Kluyveromyces lactis: one gene and its partners. The protein of the gene in region 1 purifies or fractionates together with the protein of each later gene. This does not show direct contact. Links are inferred from orthologs where the notes say so. Each region holds a gene or a part of one and is shown on either strand. Other genes may lie near its edges.

Region 1 (3,614 bases):
ACATGTGGTTGTTGCGACTGTTGAGGCATCATACGAGTACTATTCATAGAAGGGGAGAAAAGCATCCCGTTCATCCCAACTGGCCCTTGCTGCTGAACAGCGCCCTTCCCGAAAAATTGCTCCGAATTTGGCAATCCTCCGAGCTGACTATTAAGAGATTGCATTAAAATTCTATCGTACTTACTGGAGTAGTCCTAAATGACAACTCTTAAATCAGAATTGAATCGTATTCCAACCATATATGTCTCTGTCTCTTCCTTATCTAATGCTAAAGGCTTTCCTGTTTCGTTCCTCTTTGGCAGAAACAGAATTTTCGAGGGAAATGTCATTGTGTACGGTGTTGATATTACCACTGGCACCACTTCTCAATGGACAGTGGACCCGAATGGGTCCATTGTCCAGTGTTTCTGCCCCTGATCTGCATGCTTCACAACGTTCGGTGTTATCCAGCCTTTCTACTATTTATTTAATAAATTTCTATGTGCAAGACTTAGCCTAAGTCATCCGATTGATATTAATGTACAAAAACGATAGATCCGATAAGATTGTATATGGTGTGTCTATATATAAAGCGATGCCCGTGTCTGGAGAGAATTAAATATTGAGGAAGTGTTTGGTTTATTCCTTTTTGGCCTTTTTAGAAACAGGTTCTTCTTGTTCCTCTTGCTCCTTCTCTTCCTCTTCTTGATCTTCTTGATTTTCCTCTGCAGGACGTTTCTTATCACCAGGTTCCTTTTCCTCAATCTTGTCCTTCTCTGGTGGTGGTACGAACCATGGGATCTTACCTCTGTTGAAATCGTTCAAGATTTGTTTCGATACCCCGCTTTCATCTGGTTCACCACCTTTCAATAGTCTACCTTGCTTTCTTGCAATCATTTCGATGAAATCTACAGAGTCTTTCCATCCGGAGATCTCATAGGTTCTTTCCAAATGTTGTCTCTTACAACGTTTTAGAATACCTGGAATGTATTGTTCAGGATGCGAAACGTGTTCAACTCTTACCACACCTCTGAATAGAATATCCTCTTCACTGTCCTTGCTGGATGGCGGTACAATACCGGGACAATCGATTAAAAAGATTCTCTTCATCAAAGTTATGTATTGCCACACCTTAGTTTCACCAGGAATAGGTGCCACTTGACAGACCTTCTTTTTCCTTAGAGTGTTGATGATTGAGGATTTACCGGTGTTTGGATATCCAATGAACCCAACAGAGATTTGATGTCTGTCCTTATGCAGTTGTGAGAATTGACGTAGAAGTTGAATTAACGAACCCTTACCAAATGAATTGGTAATAGAGGCATGGAATGCCAATGTGGGACGTTCCTTCGATAGATGTTTTACCCATGCTGCCTGTTGAGAATCAAAAATAGGGAAAATCGTGTTAGTAAAATTGTAATCACATATGTGAATCAATAACCAATTATGCTTTCTACTGGGGGTTGACTCCATGCTGTATTGAGTATATTAGTGGTGATGTGAGGTTCTTTACTACGAGCCATGGCATAATAATTCTTTTCAGATCCAAAGCTCAACTCTTAAGTTCCTCCGTACCCGAAATAAAAGCGCTGATATATCCTCAAAACGAAGATTGTTCAACTAGGTTTCAACCATGACTCCATCAAAACGATGGATAGATCGAGGGTGGGTAGTATTGCTCTTCCAAAACTGTAACAGGCCCTTCTGTATGTGTAAGTTGTACTAGAATGTACGCAGAAACACCCTGACAAAGAATTTTGGTATTCTCAAGATACTGTGGTATTCACTCCCAGTTAGAAAGTATAATCGGTTAGTAGTAATCACTGAAGATTAAAAAGAAAGTTTAAAACATACGGCAACCCATGTAGGAACAAGATCACACTTGTTCAAGACGTATATCAAATGTTTATGAGGAGTCTCATTGGTCATGTAATCAGTCACCGATTTACAACGAGTCCCCAAAGGATCTCTAGCATCCAATACGTGGATGACGACATCGGAGGAATCGATAACCTTGTACAATTCGTTCCAAATACGTTTCGACTGACCTTTGTGGAAAATGGCTTCCTTTGCTGCCTGCGTCCAACCGTCTTCTTCCTCTTGCTTACCCATAAGCCCCAGAGTAGAATCCAATTCTTGCTTTTCTTCAAAAGTCTTATTATCGGTAGAAGTACTTGAAATCAACTCTTCCAACGACGACGCAGCGATTCTTGGTTTCTTCCTCTGAGCCTTAGGCCCAAAAGTTTGTTCAAAGGGCTCTGTCTCCAAAATCTTTGCCGTTGGAGATTCAGCGGAATCCTTTTCGTTCAACAACGACATCGGAAGTTTATTTCTTCTCAATAGCACCTGATAAGAATCACGCTTGTTCTCGCCCAAAGCTTCTCTGAAATGGCTCAATGAATCCTGAGAAATAACTCTGGTATTACCAAACCATCTACGGTCAGGAGCCACTCTTGCTGTTGGAGCAGCAGTATCCTGCAACGGAGCAGCCTTGATAATGTCACCCTTTGCATTACGAACAGATCTACCACCTTTGTACATGTTCAAAAACTGCACTCTCTTGGTGTCCCTGTAGAAATTCTCACCCTTCACACGAAGGTTACCATCCTTGGTATTACCTTCGCGGATTCTCCTTTGCTTTTCCTTCTTACCGGTACCCATTGTGCCTTGGTATAGATTTCAATTAGGTTTCCTTTGGTTCGTTCGTTTGTTCGTTCTTTGTGGTAACGAACACGTTCAATTTCGATCGAAAACTCAAACAGATGGAAGAATAAGTAACTGAATGTCTCTTGCCTGGACTGAGATCAACCTGAATCGAAACAAACCACTGATGAACCTGCCTTTGTTCCTGTTCCAATTCATGAGATGAGATGAGATGAGCTGGAAAATTTTTTCTTTTCACTTTTTCTTACACTATGGGAATGAAAAAGAAACCTGATCTTTGACCATGGGAATGGCAGGCGATGAGTTGTACTCTCTGTAGGGCTTTTGGCTTGGCTATATGCTTTATATATGTGTTATATAGTCATCTTAGAATAAACTATGCATGACATCGTTGAGTGCTTTCGATTGCGGTTGGGATTGTCTCTGAGAATCTGGAGCAGATGCTCTTGTCGAAGCGACTTTCCTCTGTTTGAAAGTCCTGCGAACTTCTTCATCGACCTGCTGTGATTCTTGTTGGTTACGTTTCTTGCTCTGTTTCATCTTGTTGACCATCTTTGATTTCTCTACGTTATGGATGAACTCTGCGTTCAACTTGTTGGCCTGTGAGATTTCCAATTGTAGCTTTGCTTGTCTGATATCGTTTTCTCTAGCGATTTGTTCTGTCAAATCGGCCCATTTGAACCCGGGCAAGTATTTAACGTTCATGACGTCGTCATGGTAGAAATTTCCCTTCTTACCACCGATAATATTACCGTTTAGAGTCGATGCGCACAGTTTAGCGTCCTTCTTTCTGATAAACTCGGCCCAACCTTCTTCAAACATCGTTTTCTTGTTCCCACCACTCTTGACACGCTGCTGGTGCTTGTGCTCCTCTTCACGTTTCAAGAACAGACGGTCCACTTCACCGAATCTTGTGAGAATCTGCCTTAGCTTGGCTGGTTTCATGTACGGTGGAACCCTCGATAGGTAAA
Region 2 (3,746 bases), on another chromosome or scaffold:
TCATCCTGAAAATTTGGATGATGTTGATGATGCAGAATTGGATTCTCACTTGTTAGATGAAGAAGCTTCCAAATTGAAAGAACGTATTTGGATTGATATCAACGGTGATTACTTGATTGAACAAGAATCAAAAAGACTCAAACAGGAAGCAGATTTGGCCAGTGGGAATACTTCGCTACGAAAAAAACGCAGCAAACGTACTAATAGAAACCAATCCAGTGCAAGCATCGTCAAAGTTCAAGTCGACGGACTACCGCTTGATGTTTCCGTGGATGACGCTGATGCTGTAGATGTTGTCGCAGCTGGAGGTGTCAAGAATCTATTACAAAAGACGACTTTCTCAAAGAAGATCAATTACGATGCTATTAACGGTCTCTTTGGACAAAAATAGTTTCTACGTCGTCACTGTTTCTCTTCTCTTGTACGATATCCATCAGATCAAACTCAAGAAAATTATATGAATACCAACTGCTATTTACATATCGTTACTTGATACAGATGTCTGTTTTTGCTCTTTTTTATTTTAATATTTTACACTAAATTGGTGTATCAATTTCATTTCGATTATATTTTTGGAACTATATTTAAACGGCGTACATAATTTATAAACATTGCAAACAAATATTCGTTTGGTGTGGACTATTATTCATTTATGGAACACAATAATAAGCTACCATCAGTATACCATTTTGCCTATTCAGATATTAAAGAGCCTTAAACCCACTTTTTGCCTCTGGTTTCTTCTTTCCGTACCGTGAGTGAAAAGAAATTTTTTAGAAGGAAGAAAATTTTGAGATGAGATGCGATGAGATAGAACCTATGTATGAACAAAGTATATCACTCCGAGACAACTAAAGTTGCCTAACACTATTCGAACTTGTGCAAATCAACTAAGTATTTCCGAACAGTGAAAAGGAATCACATAATCAAATAAGAAACAAATATGGTTAGGAGATCTCGTGCTGCTATTCTACCGACAAACATTATTCTCTTGCAGAACCTTGTTAAGCGTGATCCTGAATCCTATCGTGAAGAGTTTCTACAGCAATATGCTCACTACCAATCATTAAGAGACATTTTCATGTTAAATTCGGTCAACAACGAGAGCACTGATGAAAGTGCAATGGCTGAGTTTATGGGAGCAATTGGATTTGTATCTCAAGTTTGTTCCTGTTATCCTCGTGAAACGGCAAACTTCCCAAACGAATTGAAACAGTTAGTATTAGATCACCACAAATCGCTTCCGTTTGACGTGAAAGAAAAGATTATCACCAGTCTAACTATGTTGAGAAATAAGAACGTTATCAGCCCTGAGACTTTGATTCAAACTATGTTCCCATTGCTTATTGCATACTCTTCCCCTAGTAATTCGATGGTCCAGAATTCTCACGCCAAAGAGCTAAGAACTTTAATCTACAACACTCTAGTACAGTTGATGAAATCTTGTAACACCAGTGGTAAGAACCAAAAATTAAACAAATCTACCCATGCGTTGTGTTTCAATTTGTTGGAACAGCCAGATTCTCAAGGTATATGGGCATCGAAATTGACAAGAGAGTTATGGAGAAGAGGTATCTGGGACGATTCAAGATCGGTTGAAATTATGACCCATGCTGCACTACATAACGATGTTAAAATTGCATACAGTGGTGTCTTGTTCTTTTTGGATGCTGATAAAGAGCGTGAAGAAGCGTTTGAAGAAAACGACGATGAGGATGAAATCGATACTACCGCTTTGAAGCACAAGCTCCAGATCAACAAGAAATCTAGTAAAAGAGGTAAGAAGCTAGAGCAAGCACTTAAGGTCGTAAAGAAGAAATCTGCTAAAGGTGTTCAACAGAATAATTTCTTAAATTTCAGTGCCATCCATCTATTACGTGATCCACAAGGGTTTGCCGAGAAATTGTTTGAAAGACATCTAAGTGGTAAGAATTCGAACAAATTTGATTTCGAACAAAAGACTGCCATCATGCAATTATTATCCCGTTTAACAGGTACACACAAGTTAATGGTTCTTGGACTATATTCATACTTCTTAAAATACCTGACGCCAAAGCAAAGGGACGTTACCAAGATTCTATCTGCTGCAGCCCAATCCTGTCATGATCTTGTTCCTCCAGAGACCATTGAAGTGATGGTGAGGAAGATAGCCAACGAGTTTGTTAGCGACGGTGTTTCAAATGAGGTTGCCACTGTGGGTTTGAATACAGTCAGAGAAATCTTGACTCGTGCCCCATTAGCTATCGATGAGACTTTACTACAAGATTTAACCGAATATAAGGGCTCCAAGGCCAAGAGTGTCGCCATTGCTGCTAAGGGTTTGATTGCATTATACAGAGAAGTTGCTCCGGAGATGTTAAAGAAGAAAGATCGTGGTAAGACCGCTTCTATGGGACTACAGGACGACAAACGCAATGGCAGGGAATCCAAACGTGTCAAGTTTGGTGTCGAGACTACTAATGTACAAGGTATAGATGGTATTGAGTTACTAGCGAAGTGGAAGCGTGAGAACGGAAACGAGGAGGATGATGATGATGAGGCTGCATGGGATTTGAACAACCGGGATGAATTATCAGATGCTTCGGATGTAGAAGGTGAGTGGGTGACGATAGAAAGCGATAAAGAGTACGAAGTTGACATGGACTCTGACGATGAGGAAAGCAAGAACAAAACAGGTCATAAGGGTAAGAAACGTTCCCACGATGAAGTCGAACCGGAAGCTGGTGAAGATAGTGATTTAGAATTATCCGGTGATGAAGAAGAACCAAAGGTGGGAGAAGAGCAGAAGGAAGAAAGTGAATCCGCTGACCCAGAAGAAGCTTTCCGTGAATTAGCATCCAGTCGTATCTTAACACCAGCCGATTTCGCTAAACTTCAAGAACTACGTACTGAAAAGGGTGTTACTAAACTTATGGGGATCAACAACGAAGAAACTATTGAGCATTACAAGCTTATGGGTCCAGCCAAGCACAAGAAACAGAACAAAGAGGAAAGAATGGCATCTATTATGGAAGGTCGTGAAGACCGTGAAAAATACGGAAGTAAGCGTGGTAAGCGTGACAGTTCAATGAGATCAACTACAAATAAAGAGAAATCTAGAAAGAAGAACTTTGTGATGATGATCCATAAGAGATCTGTGAAGGGTAAGCAAAAAATGTCGCTTCGTGACAAACAAAAGGTCTTGCGTGCTCATATCACGAAGCAAAAGAAGAAAGGTAATTAAACTAGATGGCATGGCAAAAGTAGTTATATTAATTATAGGCACTTGTAGACACAGCATATAAAAGATAGAAAAAAAAGACACGTCAGTGTCACGTGACCAACTCATTTTCTCCATTTAGCCCAGTTTTGAAGTTGTCCTTTCAGCCAATGTGATATCACCATCCGAGACCACTTGTCTGCTGCTCATATCCCAGGTCAAAAAGGACTATTAACACGGCTTAACGGTGTGCCAACGGTTTTGGACCGAGAAGGACATGATCTAACAGGGAAAAAAAAAACTCGAAAAGAAAAAGAGACCACTACAGGATGTTTGAGGAACTTCAGCTTGAATGGAAATCTCGACACTATCAGCTATATTCATGCGTCGGCATTAAGCCTTCTTCGCATCACGGGCTGTGGCCCGTGATGCTGGCCCGCACTAAATGGGGCCGGGAAGGCATATGTTCCAACGCGTTACTCTCGAGGGAACGATTTACTACTGCCTAGACTAGCTCGTCTCAGTATTATTCAATGTAGTGCAGCAG
Region 3 (3,757 bases), on another chromosome or scaffold:
GTTTCTCTGTTATATACTTTCCTTTGAAGGTGGTACCGACATACTGTCGGTTCCATAATTTTTGTCACATCAAATTTAGTTTCACATCTATAGCATTCCACATAATCTGATTCTGATTCATTGATCGGATCAGTGTCATACATCTTGACAAAAAATCCGTTCCTACTGAGTGTTTCCTCGTCGAGTAGCAAAGATCGTAGTTTTTGCAATACGTGGGACCTTTGTATTAATGACGAACTATTATTCTTAGGTTTGCCAGTTTTATCAAGATTACCCTTATATTTAACAATATCTCGTAATAGAATGGAAGCATTGAACGCGTAACTTTGTCTTGTTTTTGCTATTTTAGCAACCTCATGTTCCCAAATAGTCGATGCCTTTATAATGTGAGGGCTGCTCGATTGAAACCTCTTTAACTGTGTGTATATCTTTTGGACAACTCTAACTCTGTCTTGATACGGAGCAGGTTGCATTTTCATGTCAACCGGACGTAAAACTGGATTACCGACCATAATTATTGCATACAGAGGAATGTATCGGAAGACAATGGAGTTCAGATGGATTGTAAACTTTAGGCTTGCTGTTAATGGCTCTCTCAAAGCATTCTTTTCTCTTACCCATCCATTTTTCTTTTGCCGATGAGATGGATTGCAGGTATATCTTTCTTTCACTGAAATATTTATTTCTTTTTGGTGTTTTTCTGTGCTCTGAGAATTTTTTAAACAAAAGCGATGAGATGAGATGAGATGAGATGACTTTAAACAAACTGCCAAATTGAGTGTAGGATACATTTAACTGCAGATCCGCTATAGACTTAGCAAAGTAAGGCATATCACTTCTTTCACAGAGTATCAAAACATCGAAACGGATATTTTCTATTCTGCCTCTGTTTATTGACTAGGAAAGAAAGAAGAATTGCTTATAAGAGGGGCGAAGGATTGAATTACTATAGCCATGTCCTCTGCATTAATTTATTTAGATGTTACTGCGGCCGAGGAAAACTTCACTATATACCAGAAGGCTTTTACTCAGCAGCACTTGTCTGACTATTATAGATTTGATGCCAAGCTTTCAACCGATGAGAACTTGTCGAATTTAGCATTTTCCTCGTTAAAAGAAGATTTAACGATTCCTCATTTATACATTTACAAGAATATATTCTTGGACTGTTGCTCTAGATGGATTTTGCAACACGACTCCAAGAAGTTTGTCACGGTATTACACGCATTGGGCAGAATTGCAAGTTTATATCCGGAAGCTTCGCAATTGATCGAAGTGTTCTTGCTCAGAAATGGTGACTACTTTAACGCATTGTTACAAACTTACCAAGCTCATGATCCAAAGGACATCGAGTTGATCCTTTTGGCTTATTATCGATTGATTCAGTATGACAAGATCAGATTTGAGAGATATATCAATGCTCAAACTCTTAATTCACTTTTGGCACACCAATCTACAATCATCAAATTTTTGTCATTAAAAGTTCTTAATATGCTTATTGAAATGGCAGAGCACGCCTGTGAACTTGTGGTCCAAAATCAACTTAAACTGTCAACTGAACCTATCTTAAGTGTATTTGAAGGTGCTTCCGATGTAGATTATCAATTTTTGGAACTTACTGAAGCTAAAAGGCTCTCAAATTACCATAGTCTACCAAATGAAATCAATGAACTTGTTTCTTATCCAAAGAACTTCAGACCAACTGGAAAATCGTTCAACATCGATATCAATGAACTTTCGTCGTTGATTGTTGAAGTATGTGGTGTATTTATTGCCAGAATCTCCGAAGCACCTTCTAATGAAGAACATCTAAAGTCAGATCTAGTATATACGGATGGTGCCAAGTTGGCCTTACAAAAATTGGCCGAAGGTATTCAGCGCAACAAGCCTGTAATGCTTGTGGGTAAGGCTGGATCAGGTAAAACATTTTTGATCAATGAGCTTTCAAAAAAAATGAACTGCGATAGTTCTGTTGTCAAAATTCATTTAGGTGAACAAACTGATGCTAAACTACTTTTGGGTACATATACATCAGGTGAAAAACCCGGTTCTTTTGAATGGAGATCCGGTGTTCTCACAACAGCAGTTAAAGAGGGACGATGGGTACTTATCGAGGATATCAACAAAGCGCCAACCGAAGTCTTGTCTGTTCTTCTTACCCTTCTTGAAAAAAGAGAAATATCCATTCCATCTAGAGGTGAAGTCATCAAAGCTGCCAACGGTTTCCAGTTATTAGCAACAATAAGACTAGACGAGCACACCTCCCATGGTGGCATTACGCATGAGTCTGACCTGATTGGTATGAGATTATGGGAGAAAATCCTTGTAGATGAGCCGTCTGAAGACGATTTGAAGCTTATTCTACAAAAAAGGTTTTCTTTGTTAACTGCCTTAATACCGAAACTTATCAGCACCTACAAATCTGTGAAAGATATTTACAGAAATCCACAATTTGTTTCATTGAACAAAGGTGTTCAACCAAGAATCATTAGTGTTCGAGATTTAGTTAAACTAAGTCAGAGAATCACCGAACTTTTTGAAGCTAATCAAGTTGTTAAACCGGATCAACTTATCGAGTCGTCTATCTATGATGATATTTTTGCTGAAGCTGTCGATTGTTTTGTTGGTTCGATTAGTGAATATGGAGCCGTACAGCCCTTAGTACAGAAAATTGGAGAAGAGCTTGAAGTTTCAGTTTCCAGAATCACGTTGTTCTTGAACAAGCATGTACCGGCAATCGAAAAAGCTGGTGATGATGTGAAAATTGGAAGAGCTCACCTAAGAAGACCCAAGTCAACTATTCATAAAAAAAGTGCCAACACTACATCGTTTGCGTTTACCAATCATTCTCTTCGTTTAATGGAACAAATTGGTGTTGCCGTCAAAATGTGTGAACCAACATTATTAGTCGGTGAGACCGGTACTGGTAAAACTACTGTAGTTCAAGAGTTAGCAAAGCTAATGAATAAGAATTTGACGGTTATTAACGTTTCCCAGCAGACTGAGAGCGGTGATCTATTAGGTGGTTACAAGCCTGTGAATTGTAGGACTGTCGCAATTCCAATTCTAGAAGATTTTGAGGGGCTTTTCCTTGCTACATTCTCTTTGAAGAAGAACGAGAAGTTCTATAAACTCCTCCATAAGTGCTTCTCCAAGGGGCAATGGAAGAACGTCGCTAAACTTTGGAAAGAAGCTATTAAAATGGCTGATAGCATTCTAAAAAAGGACTCAAATGAGAAAGAGGAAGCTGACAAGAAAAAAAAGCGTAAACTCGACCCTGAGAGTAAACAAGCTTTATTGGAAAAATGGAAGGAATTCAGACAAACAGTTGAATCATTTGAATTACAATCCTCTACTTTGGAAAACTCGTTTGTGTTTAATTTTGTGGAAGGTTCTTTGGTGAAGGCTGTCAGAAATGGAGAATGGTTGTTATTGGATGAAGTCAACTTGGCCTCGGCAGACACGCTTGAAAACATAGCTGATTTGCTTTCAGAAAGTGACTCTAGAAGTATACTTCTATCTGAAAAAGGTGAGGCAGAATCGATAAAAGCCCATCCAGATTTCAGAATTTTCGCTTGTATGAACCCTGCTACAGATGTCGGTAAGAGAGATTTACCACCAGGTATTCGATCAAGATTTACCGAAGTTTATGTTCATTCTCCTGACCGTGACATCTCTGATCTATTGTCTATCATTGACAAGTACATTTCAAAGTATAGCGTAAGCGACGAATGGGTTGGTAACGACATCGCTGAAC

The links.
Region 2: the proteins of NOG2 (region 1) and SDA1 purify together in Saccharomyces cerevisiae (affinity purification with mass spectrometry; 9 studies listed by BioGRID, with this or other methods). This does not show direct contact. The link is inferred for Kluyveromyces lactis from reciprocal best matches to the Saccharomyces cerevisiae genes NOG2 and SDA1.
Region 3: the proteins of NOG2 (region 1) and REA1 purify together in Saccharomyces cerevisiae (affinity purification with mass spectrometry, with the first as the bait; 7 studies listed by BioGRID). This does not show direct contact. The link is inferred for Kluyveromyces lactis from reciprocal best matches to the Saccharomyces cerevisiae genes NOG2 and REA1.

The regions. Positions count from the first base shown.
Region 1 is NC_006039.1:1,670,827-1,674,440, forward strand, and holds NOG2 (putative GTPase NOG2), read right to left. Parts: upstream 2,641-3,614; coding exon 1,834-2,640; intron 1,354-1,833; coding exon 619-1,353; downstream 1-618. Other genes in the region: CCR4-NOT core DEDD family RNase subunit POP2, read right to left, coding at 1-164; RNA-binding ATPase activator ESF2, read right to left, coding at 3,010-3,614. UniProt on the Saccharomyces cerevisiae protein: GTPase that associates with pre-60S ribosomal subunits in the nucleolus and is required for their nuclear export and maturation.
Region 2 is NC_006037.1:499,154-502,899, forward strand, and holds SDA1 (Sda1p), read left to right. Parts: upstream 1-943; coding exon 944-3,223; downstream 3,224-3,746. Other genes in the region: transcription factor TFIIIB subunit BRF1, read left to right, coding at 1-391.
Region 3 is NC_006042.1:1,851,627-1,855,383, reverse strand, and holds the start of REA1 (AAA family ATPase midasin), read left to right. Parts: upstream 1-954; coding exon 955-3,757. Other genes in the region: REX3 (RNA exonuclease), read right to left, coding at 1-791. UniProt on the Saccharomyces cerevisiae protein: Nuclear chaperone required for maturation and nuclear export of pre-60S ribosome subunits.